Linked DNA regions of Styela clava. The protein of the gene in region 1 interacts with the protein of each later gene in a pairwise test. Links are inferred from orthologs where the notes say so. Each region holds a gene or a part of one and is shown in the gene's direction. Other genes may lie near its edges.

The links.
Region 2: the proteins of germinal-center associated nuclear protein-like (region 1) and DNA replication licensing factor MCM3-like interact in a two-hybrid assay, tested with the Homo sapiens proteins (2 studies listed by BioGRID). The link is inferred for Styela clava from reciprocal best matches to the Homo sapiens genes MCM3AP and MCM3.

What each region holds. Positions count from the first base shown.
Region 1 is NC_135260.1:9,574,051-9,583,986, reverse strand, and holds the start of germinal-center associated nuclear protein-like, read left to right. Parts: upstream 1-5,330; 5' UTR 5,331-5,373; coding exon 5,374-7,157; intron 7,158-7,660; coding exon 7,661-8,345; intron 8,346-8,679; coding exon 8,680-8,894; intron 8,895-9,849; coding exon 9,850-9,936.
Region 2 is NC_135257.1:13,038,970-13,048,510, reverse strand, and holds DNA replication licensing factor MCM3-like, read left to right. Parts: upstream 1-5,512; 5' UTR 5,513-5,638; coding exon 5,639-8,074; 3' UTR 8,075-8,275; downstream 8,276-9,541. UniProt on the Homo sapiens protein: Acts as a component of the MCM2-7 complex (MCM complex) which is the replicative helicase essential for 'once per cell cycle' DNA replication initiation and elongation in eukaryotic cells.

The sequences.
Region 1 (9,936 bases):
TTCTGTCATTATCTGATTCATTTGATATTTTTCATTATTATGAGCCATTAATTTTTTAAAGTATGCCTTGGAATGAATGATTAATTGTGAATTCATGTCTGGAGGTATATTATTCATTTGGTAACACTCTCTATTACACTTTTTCAACCACTTACATTCTTTTTTTTTTCATTATATGCCATTGCGTACAAAACTTTATTGATTTATTCAAACAACTGCCTCTATCTAATCATAAGTTTTCTATTTTATTAGATTCGGTTAACCTATCTTTTATATTGGTGTGTTAAATTACTCTTGTATTGGACAGAATTGGGTGCCTGCATTGTTAAGTTGCACCTGCTAAGCATTCTTGCATAGTGTTTTGTTTATAGGGCTCAGTTTCCTGAGGCTAACTTTTTCAAGCATCTATGAGATGGTATATTTATCCTGGTTCTAGGAAAATTCGCCGTAAATAAGTTTGCCCTAGGAAATGTCGCCGAAGGAAATTTCGCCTAATGGGAAAAATCGCCGCAAGAGCATTTTGCTGTAAAACAAGTATTTGTGATAAAACAGGTTTTTGAAGTACCTTTTTATTTATAAAAAAAAATCGTTATTTAAGAGCATACATGGATGTACGGTAATAATAATTAAGAACATAAAGAAAGAATCGTAATCCTAACCCTAATGTTTATATGAAACAAAAAGTTGTTATTAATTGTTTTTATCACAGACCCTTTTTTTTCACAAAATGCTCTTCCAGCGATTTTCCTGATTAGGCGAAATTTCTGCGACGAGTTTTCCTACCGCAAACTTCTTAGACTAATTCCCCACACAATTTATCCTTGCTCTGAAGCCTCAGATACAAACTTAACAGTTTAGTGGTATTTTTGAGAGTTATTTCTGCAATACTTGCTTATTCATCCATGAGCTGAATAAAAATATAAATTACTTTTGGTCTAAATAGTGTAGTGTGAATAATGTAGTAATAATAATGTCTGGAATAAAATAGCTTGGCATGGTTTTTCTGCAATCTCAAAGTTTTCTTCTCACTACGAAAATTCACTCAGAATCTACTCTTAGTGCACAACAAATTTCATCAATGTCTACACAAAATTGCAATCTGGGCTTTGATAGTTCATCTCAAACATCTTCTGACACTTCAGCAACAGCTCAATCGGAGTCTTCTACAAAGCCATTGCCAATGACAGAGCCACATAATCTTGTTACATTTCCCAGTCCTTTGAATATGAATATCAATCATAAAAGTAAAAGAAAAGCAGAAGATTCTTCGAATGAGTCTAACGGAAAACATCTCGAAATTCTGTCATCTGATCTTACTAATAATAATGAAAATAAAGATCATGGCACCCATTCTGGTTCAACTATGAAAGAGGTATCTGATGACATTGACAATATTATGGACATGGAAACTCCTGATCATATTGAGCAAGAAAAATTATCAGAAGGACAAAAAATTCTGTCTAAAGACAATACTGTTGAGACTTCGATTTCTTCTAATAGTGATATTTCAATAAATGACTGCAGTAGTGGGGAATTATGTAAAACAGTTGGTAAAGAGGAAAATTATGATAAAGGTTCTTCACATGAGCAGCAAAATTTTTTGATTTCCGATGGCAACCAAAAAGTTGAATTGAAGCCAACCCGGTCTTCTACTCCTCTCCGAATCAAGCTAAAAAATGTAAAAACTACGGATAAGAATAAAAGGGAGGAAATTAAGACAACTCACTCGAAAATGGTACACACAAAGTCCGATTTCCATACTATATGTCACTTATGTGAAAATGCAATAAAACTGACAGAGAAAGATGGAGACACCATATTAACATATGATGGTTATTTATACACAAAACTTTTTGTGAAAGGAGATAACGTACACTGGGTATGCCAAGTTCAAACTGTATTTAATTGCAAAGGCGCTCTATTAACGAATGTAGCACATACAAAAGTCAGGGGTGGTAGTACCCATTGTCATGAAAGAATATCATCAATTACCACAAAATCATGCCCAGTGGCATCGTTTTCTTATATGTATGATGCAGAGATAAAATTTGCAAAAACGAGACAGGGCGGACAAAAATTAGTATTCGCTGGATATACATACACCAAGAAATGTGCAAAAACTAATTATATACGTTGGGAATGTTCTGGTAGAAGAGGTTTTTCATGTAATGGAACTGTGAATACAAATATAAAAGGACAATCGATACTCTCTTTCAATGTTCATACACATCCTCCAACAGAGCATATTTATGATGATATTATTCCAACATCATCTGAAAAAGTAACACAAAAACGTAAACGAAAGGTTAATAGTAGTAAAGAGAAAGATACTTTAAAGGATTTGGTTGATGAAATTGAAAGAAACACTTCAAAATTCAAAAAATCAAAAACTTGCCGCATAGATTTATCACCTAAATCTAATACCACTTTAAAAACTGATGAAGACAGCTCAGATGTAATGCTAGAAAAGTCTTCCAATTCAACAAATGGAAATAAAATAATCACTAAGTGTTTGAATAAGGTACTGAACAGTCCACCAAAAAAAGTTCAAATATCACTTGCCAATGCTGATATTACTTTTCACTCCGAATGTGTTGTTTGTGAATCCTCATTAAATCTTTTTGATGACGATAATGGCGATAGTATTTTATCACATGATGGTTATAGTTATTCGAAAAGCAGTTTAATCAAAGGGATATTACATTGGTCATGCGCTCTGCGAAAAAACTCACAATGTAAAGGATCTATATCAACTGATATTGAATGCAGAAGAGTTTTAAGTTGTTATGCCCACTGCCATCCACACACTTTATCTGGCCATAGTGGCTTTATGTCTTGCCCTGTTATTGCACAATCAATTTTTACTGACTCTAAAATTGAATCTATTGCAAGTGGCAAAGGTGGTATAAAATTGTTAGTACGTGGTTATACTTACACTAAGAAATGTGGTAAACTTTCTACGATACGGTGGGAATGTTCAAGAAGAAAAGCATTAAAATGTAGAGGCTCCATCACCACTAATATTGATGGCACAAAAATATTTGGATTTAGTACTCACTCACATTCAGACATGGATAACAGATCTGAAGTTTTCAAAACAAATACTAAGAAAAAGAAAGATCTAGAATCCGAAACACTCATCAACTCTGCTGCACATGATTTGAAGTCAAAACCTAAATTGTCTGTTGGTGATGACATAGACCAGGATAAGCTACCAGATACTGTTGTGGTATACTGTGATATTGACTGATTGAATGAACCCATTCTACAATGGTTTACAGGAGATATATTTTGGGGATGCTTCGAATCAAAATCCCTGTTTATTAGAATGTGTGATTACACAATAAAAGCTCAATTTTATAAGTCAGATTTAGCATACACAAGGTAAAAACCACGGCAGTTTGGAATATATTATAAAGCAGTGGTTCTCAAATATTTTAAGCCGCGCCCCCTTTTTAGAATTTGTCTCGCACTCCACCATAAAAATAACTATCTATCCATAAGCTACAAACAACAGATAGCAAGGCGAAAGTATGTTTTATTCAAAAAAAACGTTAGAAATATGTGGATGGAACGTAAATAATGAAATGTAAATACCCAAAAAGGTGGGCAAGATCAAATCTAACAAATATTTTTATTGTTAATTAGCTTCACGCCTCCTCAAAAAATTGTCTACCGGTATGCCCCCCTTAATAGGCACGCCCTATTGTTTGAGAACTACTGTTCTAGAGTTACATTACCATTTGTGCAACGTGTTACGTGTCCTTTGGTTACAATAATTTTTAAAAACAGAAGTGTTGAACAAATTTTTGTAGAAGTAATTTAGAAATTTATAGGTTCTGTTTTTAGAGTTACTCCGTTTTGTTATTTTCGCTGGAAAGTGAGAACATTCATTTAGAACTTGAAGTCGGGGATTTTAGAATATCGTGCCATAATCTTATGAACATTCTTGTTTCTTCCACGAGGGGAATATGATAAAAATTGTCGGTTTGTATGAGTTTAGACCGCCGGTCCTCAACATTTTCAAATGGGACACAAACTTATTAAAAATTGCTTATTGATAGATAATCAATTACCGGTAATTTTGATTGGTGCAGCAATGAATGATGATGCTGTTTTTCCCTACTGAGTGGTAATTTAGATTATCAAAGTGGAAGTTGAGAACGACTGGTTTAGAATATTGTCTTTGTACTGAAAGGGTTTAATCATTCGGTATGTGTTTTAATTTGCAGTCTTGCATTCAACTTTTTTGAATCATATTTCTTTGCAATACACCTATAGATGTAGTCATTCGAATAGATAATACAGTTGAATATTGTATTTCAACTTTGATTAAACAACTTTTAAAGTTGTGAAATATGTGTGCAATGAATGAATATGTCAGTTTTAGAACGCCGTTCACCATATTTTTATAGTCAAGCTATAGCTATAATATGTGCCATGTCAACTGTGTATAACTATGATATTTGACAATATTCTCCTATTATTACGTTATTCAGAAGCTTATGTCCTATTTTTGAATTTCTTATTATGCTGTTTGTATAGCGGTTACTTTTAGATTTGATTTTGCACCTGTGTTTTTGTTGACATGATGAAATTTATACTATGATAAAATTTATTGTTGAAAAATCATTTTTTTTAGATATATTGTGGTTTAAGGAGATTAGTCTTTATCTGTGTTAATAATGTTTACTATTTTATTGAAACATAGATTGTGGAATAATTTCAGATTTTAGTCACTATCTTGAATGCTTTTTTTTTCATAACGTTTTCTTTTTCTTGGATATGCTTTTATAATGTGGGTTGTTGGGCTATTACTTATATGACTAATGTATTATGTCACATTTTCTTAACAAGCTTGTTTTAAAAGCTTAGAATATTCAGTTGAAGCTGTTGGCATTCCATCTTTTAGAAAAAAAAATTTGATTAGAATTCATAAGCAGGGCAAGAAATTCACATACTACACATTGCAAAAACTTTGAATCAACTTGAGTAATTTGATTGTTATCCATGACATTATTAAAGAAGTACAAGTGTAACTTGTAGATATTCATTTTTTTTTTCTATTGCTATCTTTCATATGTATGCTTGCCTTTATTAAATGTTGTTGGGTGATGCTTGAGTACCAAAATTTTTCATAATATAAGCTTCATTTGAGGTTTTGCCTACTCAACTAGAGTCTCTATTTTTATTTGTATAAAAGGGAGTCTTCAAAATAAATTGTCATTGGAATATTGACAGAGATCTTGTCATACAAGATAATAATGCTTGTCATTGATAAAATACTAAATGTTTTTTCACATTTTTATGTGCATTTATGGTTATTTTTTTTCAGACAGCTATTATGCTTATTGAATTATTAAATTAGTAAAAATGTCATTTGGCAATTGGATGAACAAGAATCAGGTGCAAGATATTCCTCCTGTACCTCCAGGATCTGGTTTATTTTCTTCACCATTAGCACCAACACAGCCTAGTGTATTTGGTGCTTTTAAACAAAGTGGGGAATCATCCAATGCTGGTACATCTACTGGTTTAGGTAGTCTTCAATCAAGTTCTCTGTTCAGCACAGAGCAAAGTGGAAGATTAAGCAATACAAGTAGTTCATCTACATTTGGAAGCAATTTTGGTGTGCAGAGCAGTCAAGGAAATGTGGTTGGAAACACTCCTTCTTTATTTGGGACCTCACCCCGACAACAAACAAGCGTCGGGTCTGTATTTGGCCAATTTGGAACTACGAATGATAGTGAAAAACCGTTCCAGCAAGCTGCCGTCACTGAAAAACGAGATCCTTCTGTTTCCTCTTTATTTGGAGATGTGAAATCAACTTCTTCAGTTTTTGGTAAATCTGGCTCTTCATTCAGTCATACACATACCAGTCAAGAGCAAACAGTGGCGACCACATCACACTCTTTTACCCTTTTCCAACAAAATAAGACTAACAACACTGCATCTTCTCTGTTCGGATCTAATCGTACACAAACGTCATCATTAGGAAGTTCCAATATCTTCGGCACTATTTCAAAACCGTCTTCATTTTTGAGCGACTCCCAAACAACAGCTGAAAAATCGCATTCTACAGGTATATTTGGGACATCGCAGTCACTTTCTGATAACAAGCTCCAAGCGAATCCACGACAGTCAGTTATTGGTCGACTCCCAGTGCAACCATCAATTTATGGAAAAAGAAGATCACACATTGAAGAGGTTGGAAATACAGCGGAAACAAGTAATACTGGTATTTCAAAACCTCAGATCAAGAAAACATATGGACGTGCAAGATTTGGAGAAGCGCCTACAGCTTCCTATTTGCAAGGAAATATACAAAGAAAGCGTTCCTATGATCAAGACACCACACAAGAATCACTTAAATCCAGTCCAGAAAGCCATGTTGAAGTTGTAGAGGCGTCAAGAAAAAAACGTACAATGCAGATATCGCAGAACCCGGCATTTCATCAAATGCTTGTTGGATATAAGAAAAAACTGGCAAAACAAAGAGGTGATGAACCAGACATAACGAGGCAAGATAACCTAAGTGGAAGAGCAATTGCACAACCTCAATTTAGTAGAGCTCGAGCAAGGCGATCATCATCATCCTCTAACCTTATAGATCAGAGCGCAGCATTACAGTCTAGCGCTATCATTTGCCACAACGTTCCCCCTGATTTAATTGATAACAGAGATCTGCTCAGGAATCATTTTGAAAAATTTGGTCAAATCCTTCGTATTAATATTAATGCAGAAAAAAACACTGCAACTGTAGTATTCAAAACTCACGAAGAGGCTGCTGCAGCTAAAACTGAAGGGGCTCATGTCCAACAATCAGATTCTCCAATGAAAATATTCTTTTCGAAAAGAGCAAGAAAATCTGTAGACAAATCTCCTACGCAGTTAAGTGAATCTCAAAACTTGAAAGTTACTTATCAAAGTGGTCACAAAACACTCGCAAGAGTAGCAACTCAACAAGGAAACTCTGCTCGATTTCCACCAAAAAATCGAGTGTTTGCTCAGATTTTTGCTAATACTGATGAAGAAAAACTTGGGATATTGGAGAAGATTGATAATTTGCTCAGGAAAAAGGTTGTTCGACAATCAGACATCAAAAAAGCAAAGACAAGCATAGGAACTTGCCCGGACATGTGCCCAGAAAAGGAAAGGTATGTCAGAAATTTAAATGTATTGTTTATTAATGCAAGATTTATTTACAAATGGGATTGCATAAAAACTATTCACTCATCATAATATACTTTAACTCAAAACGAAATAAATTACCTCAATATTTGAATCAGAGATGCAGGACAAAATGTTGCGATAATTTGAAAATCATCATCGTTTATTAGGGTGCTTAACGTTATCTGGATAGAACAAAACAGTATCTTATAAAATTTTGAATTTTTTCTCTGCGTGATGCTTATGAATAGACAATAATGGTGTAATATTTGTTCATTGAATTATCATTAAGTAAAGTGCCTAAGCCGCAAGCTCAATGATTCTTTTAACAATTTTTTTTTATGCGTTCATGCGTATCTAGCTGGGTGAGGTGGTTGAAATGGGATTTGAACCCAAGGTTTTAACCTGCTATGCCATCTAACACTTTAATCACAAGGCCAGTACGCCCACAAAATTTGGAGACAGTTATTGCCATATCATACTTTTTTAGGTACTTGAGACAACAGAGAAAACTTCTGTCTGCTTATGAAATGGAAGGTGGACTAGTATGTCATTACAAAGCTGTCAAAGAATACAGTCGATCTTCTGCAGACCAGGAAGAACCTTTACCTCATGAACTACGACCTGCGAGTGTTCTGCAAATGACAATGCATTATATTCTTTTGAACATGATGCCAAAATTAAATGAAGGGCAGGTCGCAGACTGGTTCGACTTTGTTTGGAATCGCACTCGGGCTATAAGAAAAGAACTTACAATACAACAATTCAGTGATGTAACTGCAGTACACATCAACGAGGAATGTGCGCGGTTTCACATTTTTTGTGCTCATCATTTGTGTGAAGAAGATAGAATGGTATTTGATCCGAAAATAAATAACGAAAATTTAGAAAAGACAATGAAAACTATCATGGATCTTTATCACGATGTATATTTCTCGCCTGCTCAAGGTCAAGCTGCAGTACCATTGGATAATTCAAATGTAGCAGAAATGTATGGATATTATATCTTACTAAATATCAACAAAACAGCAGATGTACTGAATGAGTTACAGGAACTACCTCCTGAAGTGAGGTATTCGTCAGATGTTGGATTTGCCGTACAAGCATTTATGGCAGTGCACAGCAACAATTACGCCAAATTTTTCAAAGTTGTCAGACGAGCTACTTTTATGCAGGTTAGTCAGTAAAGTTTTTCGCCTCAGGATTTTAGCTGAATCTTTTCCATGTTATGATAAATTTTCAATTTGGTATGGTCATGCATATTGGCTTGAGAAAAAAACATACACCTAATAAAATAACTATTGCACCACTAATGAATTACAGTTAATTTTGACTATAAAATATTGGATTACCTGTAGATTCGGACATTCCAAGTCTACCTTCATTTATAAAGAAGATTTACATGAATAGAATCAAAACAATGTGGAAAAAATAAGTAAATAACCTTCATTTTTTACAATAGAAATAAAAAATATTGTAGTATATTTCTAATACTTGTACATTTTTCAGGGCTGCATTCTTCATCGATACTTCATGCAAGTCCGAAAACAAGCTGCTTCGACAATATGTAAAGCATTTGTCGTACAATCTAATAAAAGGACTGTTCTTTTCCCTGCTGATGATTTTATGAAAATTCTTAGTTTCAATGATATGAAGGAAGTTGGCATCTTTTGTCAACATTTTGGAATAGAAATTGACGCCAACAATATGTTGTTATTAAACAGGTTGGTGAATAGTTTTTTTGAATTGACTCATCTTAATTGTGTGTGGTATATGTCAAATGGGCAATATTCTAAAGACAGAGATAGTAGCTGTGCATAAATTTATCCGAAAACATGTGCTTCATAATCGATATTGCAGGCCAATTTTCGTATTTCATTGGACACGTAGTGGACATAACGAACGTTTCAAAATTTTGTTGTTATTGTTATTTGTCTCCATCATTTTTAAAAAAATCGTTTTTCTCTTCGAATACTGGACCAATTGCTTTGAAATTTTCAGTGGTTGAAGATAAAATTTTTCCTCAGAAGGCTATTACTTTTATTCATTTTAAATATTTCTGTTAGCTCTGTGAGATTTGTTTTTGTTTGCTATGACGTCATTAAACGTTCTGCGGACATTGGACGCAAATTTGTGTCCTACTGTACTGCTTCGCTTGGTGTGAATATATTTGTAGACTGTGATCTGACGGTACGGTAAACCGTACTGTACTGCGAACAGACGTGTCCATATATTTGGGCGTAGCTCTCTTGTTGGAAGAAATAATTGAAAAATATCAGACGTTATAAAGGGAGATTTGAAAAATAAATTTGGAATGCATGGACTAAAAATTTACCGGTTGTTATCGTTGGAGCATCAAATGCGGTATCTCACAAGTTAGAAGGTTATTCGAAAGATATGGATTTGATTATAAATTGCATCTGTTTTAAAACCGGATGCTGCAAAATTTTAATATTATTAAAATGAATATGAGGTCTATACAATTTCTTTCAGTATACATGATATTGTTCAATGTAGTACTTCAGTTGGTATTGGTTAGTATATAAAAGAATCCAAACTTAGGATATTATCGCACCGGTCATTTTCATTGTAGAACTGATCGGAGCTGACAGTAAAATCAGTTATTGCTATTTTTGAAGAATAAATAAATCCTAGATAATTGAATTCTTTTCATGGCAGGAATGGCCTTGAAGAGCCTGACTCTTCAATGGCTGAATCAAGGTCAAATCAAGTTCTTGATAAAATCCAAGGTCAAAGTTTGGCCAA
Region 2 (9,541 bases), on another chromosome or scaffold:
GTTTGACAAAAAACACTAATACAAATATCGAGCCGTAAAAAAATTGCTCAAGGCTGCAAACTCCACACCCATGTATAAATGATTTGAAATGAGAAAACTTTATGTCTGAAATAAAACTTGGGCCAAAAAGGGCCCCTTATCTGCCGGACTATAAATAGTGGGTCCAACTCTAAAAACGTAAAAAGTGTTTCGGAATTTTTTCAATCCTTTCATTGCACATATCTTTTTGAATCGATTCTCTAACTAACAATTGACAGTGACTATCCGGTTAGGTAAAGTGTAAACTTACGGGTATTTCCCTTATTCGAATATGAAAAAATATTGACATTCCAAGTAACTGATTCCACGCCAGTCCAGTCCTCACATATCAATTAGGCGGCAGCCCCTGTTCACCGATGCCAACTTACCAATAGATCTTGATAAACTTCAGAGCATCCTTACTAAATAACTGAATCAATAATAGATTCATTCCTGGTCTTGTTTTAGTCAGTGAGAGTCATATTGACAAAGAAGGCTACCCTTTATCAAATCATAATGTCATGTGTTGTATTCTATATGATATTGATGAGGGTAAATTGACATTCACGAATGCAGTGATTTTTAACTCTTTGGGATTTGTGGAATACGTTTTATATATATCATAAAGTGCTCGCGAAACACCGGAATTTCAGACTTCAATTTTTTAAAGACAACTTGTTTCAAGGACCACAATGCCCGTGTTTATGTTGTTTATATATATATCGTTTATAATATACTATTATGCTGATGCCATTTTGCAGGGCCTGAGTACTGTAGTAACATTCGAATTTGTATTATGAGACTCCGATAACCCACGCAATGTGCGAAGGAAAATATGTCTCTCGCTTATTTCGCCGTTCATTGGACTGGGGAATAGCGCATTTTGGTTATGTCTGCTGCTTCGGTTATTTCAAGTGTCGAGTTGCCGTTTGCATGAATAACCAGTCTTGGGTCTCTCTTCCAACAAAGAATGTTTCATGGGATTTGATGACATTCTTGAAATACAATTTATCAATTGTGTATTATTGGCTGCCTGCTTTTTTATATATAGATGCCGGATCCAGAAACGAAAACCATTTTTTGATGTTTTTTATAAATTTATTCGTGATGTTCGTGACAACGAGAAAAATATAGCAATGAAAAATGATCAAATCCTGATACACAAAAGAAAATGGCATTTATTTATATAATAGTCAATAAAGTGATTTTTTGCTATTAAATTACATGTTACTGTTTTTCTTTCCATTTTTGCCGATTGATTGTCCTTATATAGTATATACATAAAATGTGACATTTTCCTGTTTTCTTATAACATTATTAGACTACAATTACAAACATTGTGAAAAATTATCTTTTATAACTATATTGCTGATTTAAAAACTGTTTATTTCAATATTCTATTTGCTAAATGATTGTCCTTGGGATTTTTTCAGTTTTCTTATAACATAATTAGACTGCGATTGCAAACATTGTGATCAATTTTATAACTGTATTACCAATATCGTTTATTTCAATATAAGTTTATTTGCTGAAAAAAAAAAAAACTCTTGGGTCTCTCGATCTAACAACCACAGTTAAAAGACAGAACTGTAGAATTTGTTACCATCAACATGTAACGGTTGATGTCCTCTTCCACTATCGAAATGGTACTGTTATTTCAAATGCCAGAATTGTTGAATTTTGATGCGTTTCCGTTCTAAATATGTAATGTTTTGCATGAAATCTTTGAATTGTTGACTATGTTAAATGAATTTTAGGTGCAGTGTTCAAACATTGTTTTTTTCAAAATTGCGTTACTTTGATACTTTCATATATATTAGCGCAACATATAGGTTCTGAAAAAGACCAAGTTATGTATCGTATAATAGGCTATTTTTCCAAGTCAAGTTAATTAAGTTAATTAAACAGTTCTACTGGGAAAGGGAAGTCGTGGGGACCAAAACTGGTCACCGAGCAGCAAAAACCAAGGTTAAATTTCTAATTGGAATTTAGAATCGGGAACCTACTGTTTTTGACGGTGTTATCCAACTACCGTAACATCGCTCACTAGAGGTGGTTGGTTACTAGAGATTGCAATGAACAGTCAAAAAGTCTACTGCTGAACGGGGAGTTTCCGAATCCAGCCGAAAGAATATTACCCTGTTGTTTATTCCGAATTTTCATGCTGGCCATGAACATTGACAAGAATTCGCATTTGGAAATCATATTTGAATTGCTAAATAATATTGCTAAACATATACCTAACTTCAAATTTCCGACTCGGGGTTATGTTTGGTAGCGAGTAAACTCGTTTGATAGTAAGCGCTAAGCAGTGTTGCATGATAATCGTGTTAATATTTATGTTTAATAATTCATGCTCGAACGCTCTTTATGAGTCTTGCCTGACGCAATGAAGTTATTGTGTATTGTCATAAGGCAAACCACACCCTATATCTCGTGTATGGTAGTGTTAACCAAGTTGTCGTTTTTTATACCTACTTTTGTGCATACTAAGGTAGAGACCAGGATGACAGCCCATTTGAACCCACGTACATATGCACTCGTAAACCCCTAGGACATTTGCACCCACCGACACTTGAACCCATACATTTTCATTCATAGATTTACGCACCAGCGGACATTTGACCCCTGTACATCTGCACTCGCGGAAATTTGCACCCATGTACATTTGCACCCATAAACATTTGCATCCACAAACATTTGCATTCATGTACATTTTCACCCATGACATTTGCACCCTGGACATTTGAAGCCGCGGACATTTGCACTCACGTACATTTGCATCCATGGAAATTTGCACCCACAAATATTTGCACCTATGTAGGCCTACATTTGCACTCGTGAACATTTGCACCCATGAACATTTGCACCCTGAACATTGCAAGAACTGATTAAAATTTGTAAACAGATTATACAATGAGTTGTTTTAATGTTTTATTTGAAGTCGCGGACATTTGCACCCACGTACATTTGCACCCGTGGATATTGGCACCCACAGACATTTGCACTCATGTACATTTGCTCCCACAGACATTTGCACCCATGAACATTTGCACCCATGGATATTTGCACTTATGCACATCTGCATTCACAGTCCGGAAGAATCGGGCCCTAACATTGTTTTGAGACATGAAGTTTTTTTTTTATTGTTTAGAAATAATGTCGATGACATAAATAATGATACCCAGGTGGGTGTGGAGTATATAATGTTGAGCAATTTTTTCTAAGCGGATTTCAAGTATTCGTACCAAGATGACGCACATCCTGAATCCTAGCCTGGTACACATACAATGTTCACGTAAAATCGACAAACGTGTATAATGACAAAAGTAAAAAATGTAATTATACACATAAGAATTCATACAAGTGAGAGATTCATAGCAATAGATAAGGAATCGCGAAAGACTGTGACAGTCATCGAGTCAGCGACACCTGTGGGCTGAAGAGGGAATGACAAAAAAATTATACAAATTTAATCAATCAATATTAACAGAAAAACAAAATCGCAACATATCACCAGAGAAACGACTTCGACTCGACAAAAGCAGGATTTTGCAACAAGTTGTTTACAGCAGTGCCCTTCAACCGGTTATACGGTATACCAAAGTGTATACCGGGCTATAAGTTGGGTATACAACTGATAAAGGGTAAACGAAGGGTGTGCAGCCTAGATCAGGGCGAAGAACCGACCTGAGCACATTGTTACATCACGAATTATATAGATAATGCGGTCACGTGTCTGGGTTGGTGATTTCGGCTGCCATGCACTTCGTTTGATTTATGTTGAACATTATTCCCGTTGACGCTGAGGCCGTCAGTCAAATTTATAACTTGATCAAGAGTGATCATTAAATTAACTGATTTTTATTTAAGTTTCCGAAACACAACTGAAAACTAACGAATAGAGTTCAAAAACACAAAAACGAGATAATGTTTAAGACCACGCTTGAAAATCTGTCTGAGTGAGAAAAGTGTCTGAGCGGATGCGAAAAGGGGGCATTGTTACGTCACTTTTTGCATCTTGCTGATTGGCCAATGTCACGAAGTAAACAAGGAAGTCGATGCTCGGGGAAAGGTCCATTGCATGATGAGATTGCAGTAAAATATGTGCTTGAAATTTTATGTTTATTTAGGCCTTAAATGAAAATTGGTATTTGTAAGGTATACCACATTAAAAAAAATAAAAAAGGTTGAAGAACACTGGTTTAAAGCACTTTCTACTCTTTGAATTGTTGCGTCATAAGGATAAGGATAATATATACATATTTATCACGGGGGAGAGGAAAGCCGATAAGACGGCTTATTCATATGGCGAACCACGGCCTCCCGTTCGGTTACCATTCCAAGTCGGTTATGGGATTAGTTATATTGTTTGTTTTCGGTAGCATGGACTTGGTGGTAGAGGAAGCCGTAACCGACCAGCGGTTACGTGAACCACCCAACGACGGCGAGGAGTCCAGCAATCCTCTCGCACATAACCATCCCTGCATGGGATTCGAACCTGCGAACCCACGCAGAGTAATTAGAGGTGCGGTGGCTAGCATATTCCTAACGCTTAGCCCGTTGAGCCACACCGCCGCGCCGCGTCATAATGGTGTCCACACCGATGCGGGTTGTTTTCCCCGATCTGTGTTAATGGATGAAAATCCAAATTGCGTTCGGGTTTGTGGTGGTGAATTCGTCTTCATCACTATTCATTCGCTATTTCGGCGCAAATGGCAATATAACCTCTTTGTCTTAAAAGTGTGGTATCCAAAGGGTGTATATGTTTACTAGTGCAAAATTAAGTAGGATGAAGCGAATATCCGTGGGTGCAAATGTACGCGAGTGCAGTTGTGCGTGGGTGCAAATGTATTGCGGGTTCAAATGTGCGCAGGTGCAAATGCCCGCGGGTGCAAATCTACCGGATGCAAATGTCCGTGAGTGCAAATGTCCATGTGTGCAAATGTCTGTGGGTGCAGATGTACACTGGTTGAAATGTCCGAGAGTGCAAATGTCCATGGATGCAAATGTTCAAGAGTGCAATCTGTATGCGGGTGCAAATGTATGGGTGCAATTGTTCATGAGTTCGAAAATCTGTGGGTGCAAAAGTATGCAGGTACGTGTAATTGTCCTGGGTGCAAATGTACGTGGGTTCAAAGATAATGAAGGCAGAGACCAGATATAGACGATGTACGATCAGATGATTCATCAAATCTAACCTACCGGTAATATTTTTTATGACATCTAAAGCGTAAATAAATACTAATGCGACTGAAGTGATTCGGTAGGCAGCCTGAGCATCAGGCTGCAAGTGGAAAAATTGAGAAACACCGTCTTAATCAGTATACAATTCATATATAGTAATCAATCATTAATATAATATTTTAATTTTACATCAAAACGAACGCAATTTAGAAACCAACGACTAACATATCGAAACAAGGGAGTCAAGGACCCACCGCTGTCGCTGGTTTGCTGCAATAACACGCATCAGCGATTAGAAGTCCACTTTGTTTCCTTATTCTGAAACCCCGCGAAACATGGACACGTGATCTGATCCTGGAAGTCTTGCAAACTCTTCGTTCGTTTTTGCCGTTTTGTTTCTGCGGGGGTATTTTTTGGATTAAATATAGTCAATATGATGGATGTGGACATTGATGAGGAATTACGGGAAGCTGAACGCCAATATTTGGATTTTCTTGATGATGAAGTCACAGACCAAGGTGTGTATTCTGCGTTGGTTAGAGAAATGATTGAGAAGGGAAGATCCCGAATTGTTGTTAACATAAACGATCTCCGGCGACGAAATAATGTGCGAGCTAAAAAGCTTTTGGATAATGGTTTTGATGAGCATGGTGCTTTTCAACGTGCTCTGAAAAATTATGTTGCTTCCATCAACACTGAATATGCAAAGCAACACGAGGAGTTTTTTGTTGGATTTGAGGGAAGTTTTGGGTCAAAGCATGTAACTCCTCGTACCCTAACAGCATTGTATCTTGGTAGCATGATATGCCTTGAAGGCATTGTTACGAAGTGCTCACTTGTTAGACCAAAAGTTGTTCGTAGTGTTCATTATTGCCCCGCTACTAAGAAGACTTTAGAAAGAAGATACACTGATATGACCTCTACAACACCTTTTGTATCAAGTTCTGTGTACCCAACTAAAGACGAAGAAAATAATCCATTAGAAACCGAGTTTGGATTATCAGTTTACAAAGATCACCAGACCTTGACTGTGCAAGAGATGCCTGAAAAAGCTCCAGCGGGACAACTTCCTCGATCGGTGGATATTGTTGTTGACAATGATTTAGTTGATCTCTGTAAGCCTGGTGATCGTGTCCAAGTCCTTGGAATATTTAGATGTCTACCTGGTAAAAAACAAGGCCATACTTCTGGTGTTTTCAGAACTATCTTGATTGCAAATCATGTAAAACCTCTTAGCAAAGAGGTTATACCAATGTTCTCAACCGATGACGTTGTTAAAATAAGGAAATTTGCAAACCAAAAAGGTGCTGACCCATTTGAAATTCTTGCCCATTCTTTAGCTCCCTCTATTCATGGCAATGAATATATCAAAAAAGCTGTGCTCTGTATGTTACTTGGCGGTACAGAAAAGATTTTGCCAAATGGAACAAGACTTCGTGGTGATATAAATGTTTTGCTGATAGGTGATCCAAGCACAGCCAAATCACAAATGTTGAGATATATTTTGCATACAGCACCACGAGCTATAACAACTACTGGTCGAGGAACAACTGGTGTTGGATTAACTGCTGCAGTGACTTCAGATGAAGAAACTGGAGAACGCAGACTTGAAGCTGGTGCTATGGTATTAGCTGATCGTGGAGTTGTATGTATTGATGAATTCGATAAAATGAGTGACATAGATCGTACCGCAATTCATGAAGTAATGGAACAAGGAAGAGTCACTGTGGCAAAAGCTGGCATTCATGCAAAGTTAAATGCTCGATGTAGCGTGTTAGCTGCAGCGAATCCTGTTTATGGTAGATATGACCAGTATAAGACTCCTATGGATAACATTGGAATGCAGGATTCTTTATTGTCTAGATTTGACTTGCTTTTTATCGTTCTTGATCAAATGGACCCAGAAAATGATCAAAGAATATCAGATCATGTGCTTAGAATGCATCAATATCGTGCAACAAATGAACAAGATGGCGACCCAATGCCAATATCGATTGGTGCAGATATTTTGTCCACAGATGATCCAGACTGCGAACAGAACAAAGATCAAGAAACGCCAGTATATGAAAAACATAATAAATTGCTGCATCGTGGATCTGGCAAAAAATCTAAAATGGTGAGTATTGCCTTTATGAAGAGATATGTTCATGTGGCAAAAATTATAAAGCCTACTTTGACAAGAGAGGCTGCGGAATGTATTGCAGAAGAATACACCAAACTCAGATGTCAAGATCAAGAGAATAGTGATGTAGCCAGAACCACACCAGTCACTGCTCGTACTCTTGAAACTTTAATTCGTCTTTCAACTGCGCATGCCAAAGCACGTTTGTCCAAGAAAGTAACTTTGAAAGATGCTCATTCTGCTATTGAGCTTGTGCAATATGCTTATTTTCATAAAGTGATGGAAAAAGAAAAGAAGAGGCGAAGAAAGACTCACGATAGCGACAGTGAAGATGAAGTCATTGAAAGTCAAAATACCTCAGTCCGCAAGAGGAGAAAGCGTGGGGATGGGAATGAAACCACTGGAGATCCAAATGACCCATATAATTTTGATTCGGCCGAAGAAGACACACCTGATGTCAGTGCTGTGGGTCGTCCTTCGCAACAACAGTCAACTGTTGATGTTTCAATGGAAGACAGTGAGCGTTCCACAACTGCTATTGATGAACAGAAGATGAATAAATTCAAGAAGTCACTTTTTGCCAAATTTGAAGTTGAACACACACAAAGCCTGCCCACAGCTGCCATTGTTGAATGGGTCAACAAGGATAGTCAGGAGTTTTCCAAGGACGATGTTGACACCTGTCTTTCACAAATGCAAGACAGCAATCAAGTGATGTATACGGATGACACTGTATTCCTCATTTAAAATCCAGGAGAATACATTCAATTTCCAGAATGTGTACATCAATGAACATATTGAACCTCAGAAACAAGAGACAATTTACCATTTCTTTTTACTTTATATGCCATCATGTTTGCTTTCTGCTGTTGAATTTGTTATCCATAGCTCTTTCGTAAATGTTCCAAATGTAAATCTGTACAGATAGTTTTGTTATTGTGAAACTTATACGCAGTGCTTGATTGGTTCCATTATGAGATTAGTTCAGCAAATGAGCAGGCAAGAAAAAAAATTAGTTTTTTGCAATGTCCTCCACGCTGTTGTAGGTTTTTACCCAAGATTCTATAACATGTTGCATAATGCTAGATTACTTAATAGCAGTCAGTGTCAGGCAACCACTTTCATCAAGGCGTACTACAGGCAAGTCCACTGGTCTTGTCCATCTGTATGCCATTAGATGAAGTGCATTGTAGCAAATTACAAATTCTCGACTTGTCAGAAACTTGTTTGCTAGTTCTATAACTGGGATTTGGGCCCAATGGGAATGCGCTGATACTCAGCCTATACTTGCGATTGGTGCCAGCCAAGATATTTGTTCACCAAAGACGTTTGTCTAATAATTCGTAAGGCCAGTGTTACGTAACAGTTGGCATTTGAAAGATTAATCGTGAATTAATAAAAATGTCCCACAAATAATTACCTCAGTATATATGTTCCGCCATTTTATTAAAGTAATGCAGCATGAAAAGTACACAAAAACCGCACGAATGAATATAGCAATAAAATCAATTAGATACAGATGTCAGTCAATATCATTCCATAAGCACATAATGCTAACATTTGCAGTTCAGGCAAAAAAATCCAAGCCCCACTTCTGATCTTAAAAAGGCAAAACCTACTAAAATCTGAATAATGTCATGACATACTGCAAAATATTAAGTGAAACAGTATATAGATAGCAATTAATTCACTATAAGCATATTAACTACAAATAGAATAAGAGTTGAAACATCATACTAAATATCAAAGTAAAACTAAATAAGCACAAGGGCATATAACATAGTCTTAAATACAATTTGAGACACGTTTCTATTATTATATGCAGAATTCTATATAGTTCACAGCTGATAGTTCTCATGGATTTGGTACTATTTGCTGTACAGGTTTATAATTTCATTATGCTTGTGTTGTACTGATATACGAAACAGGGAAACAGAACTTGAAACAAAGGGGAGCACAACTCTAATTAAAACAACGCACGACATGACTGATACAATATTTTGAATGAATTTGTGCATGATAAGACTATTGAATAAAGATTTGTCCTACATTGCCAGCATGAAGACAGATAAATTATGGGACGGTGTCAATATCGGATTTCACCAAACAACATCGTATTTCTGAATGCTTTGATCAGTTACGACTACTGGATAGTTGACAAAACAAGCAAATGTTAGAATATTTGAAAGACGTTAAGCATTTAAAAATTCTAAC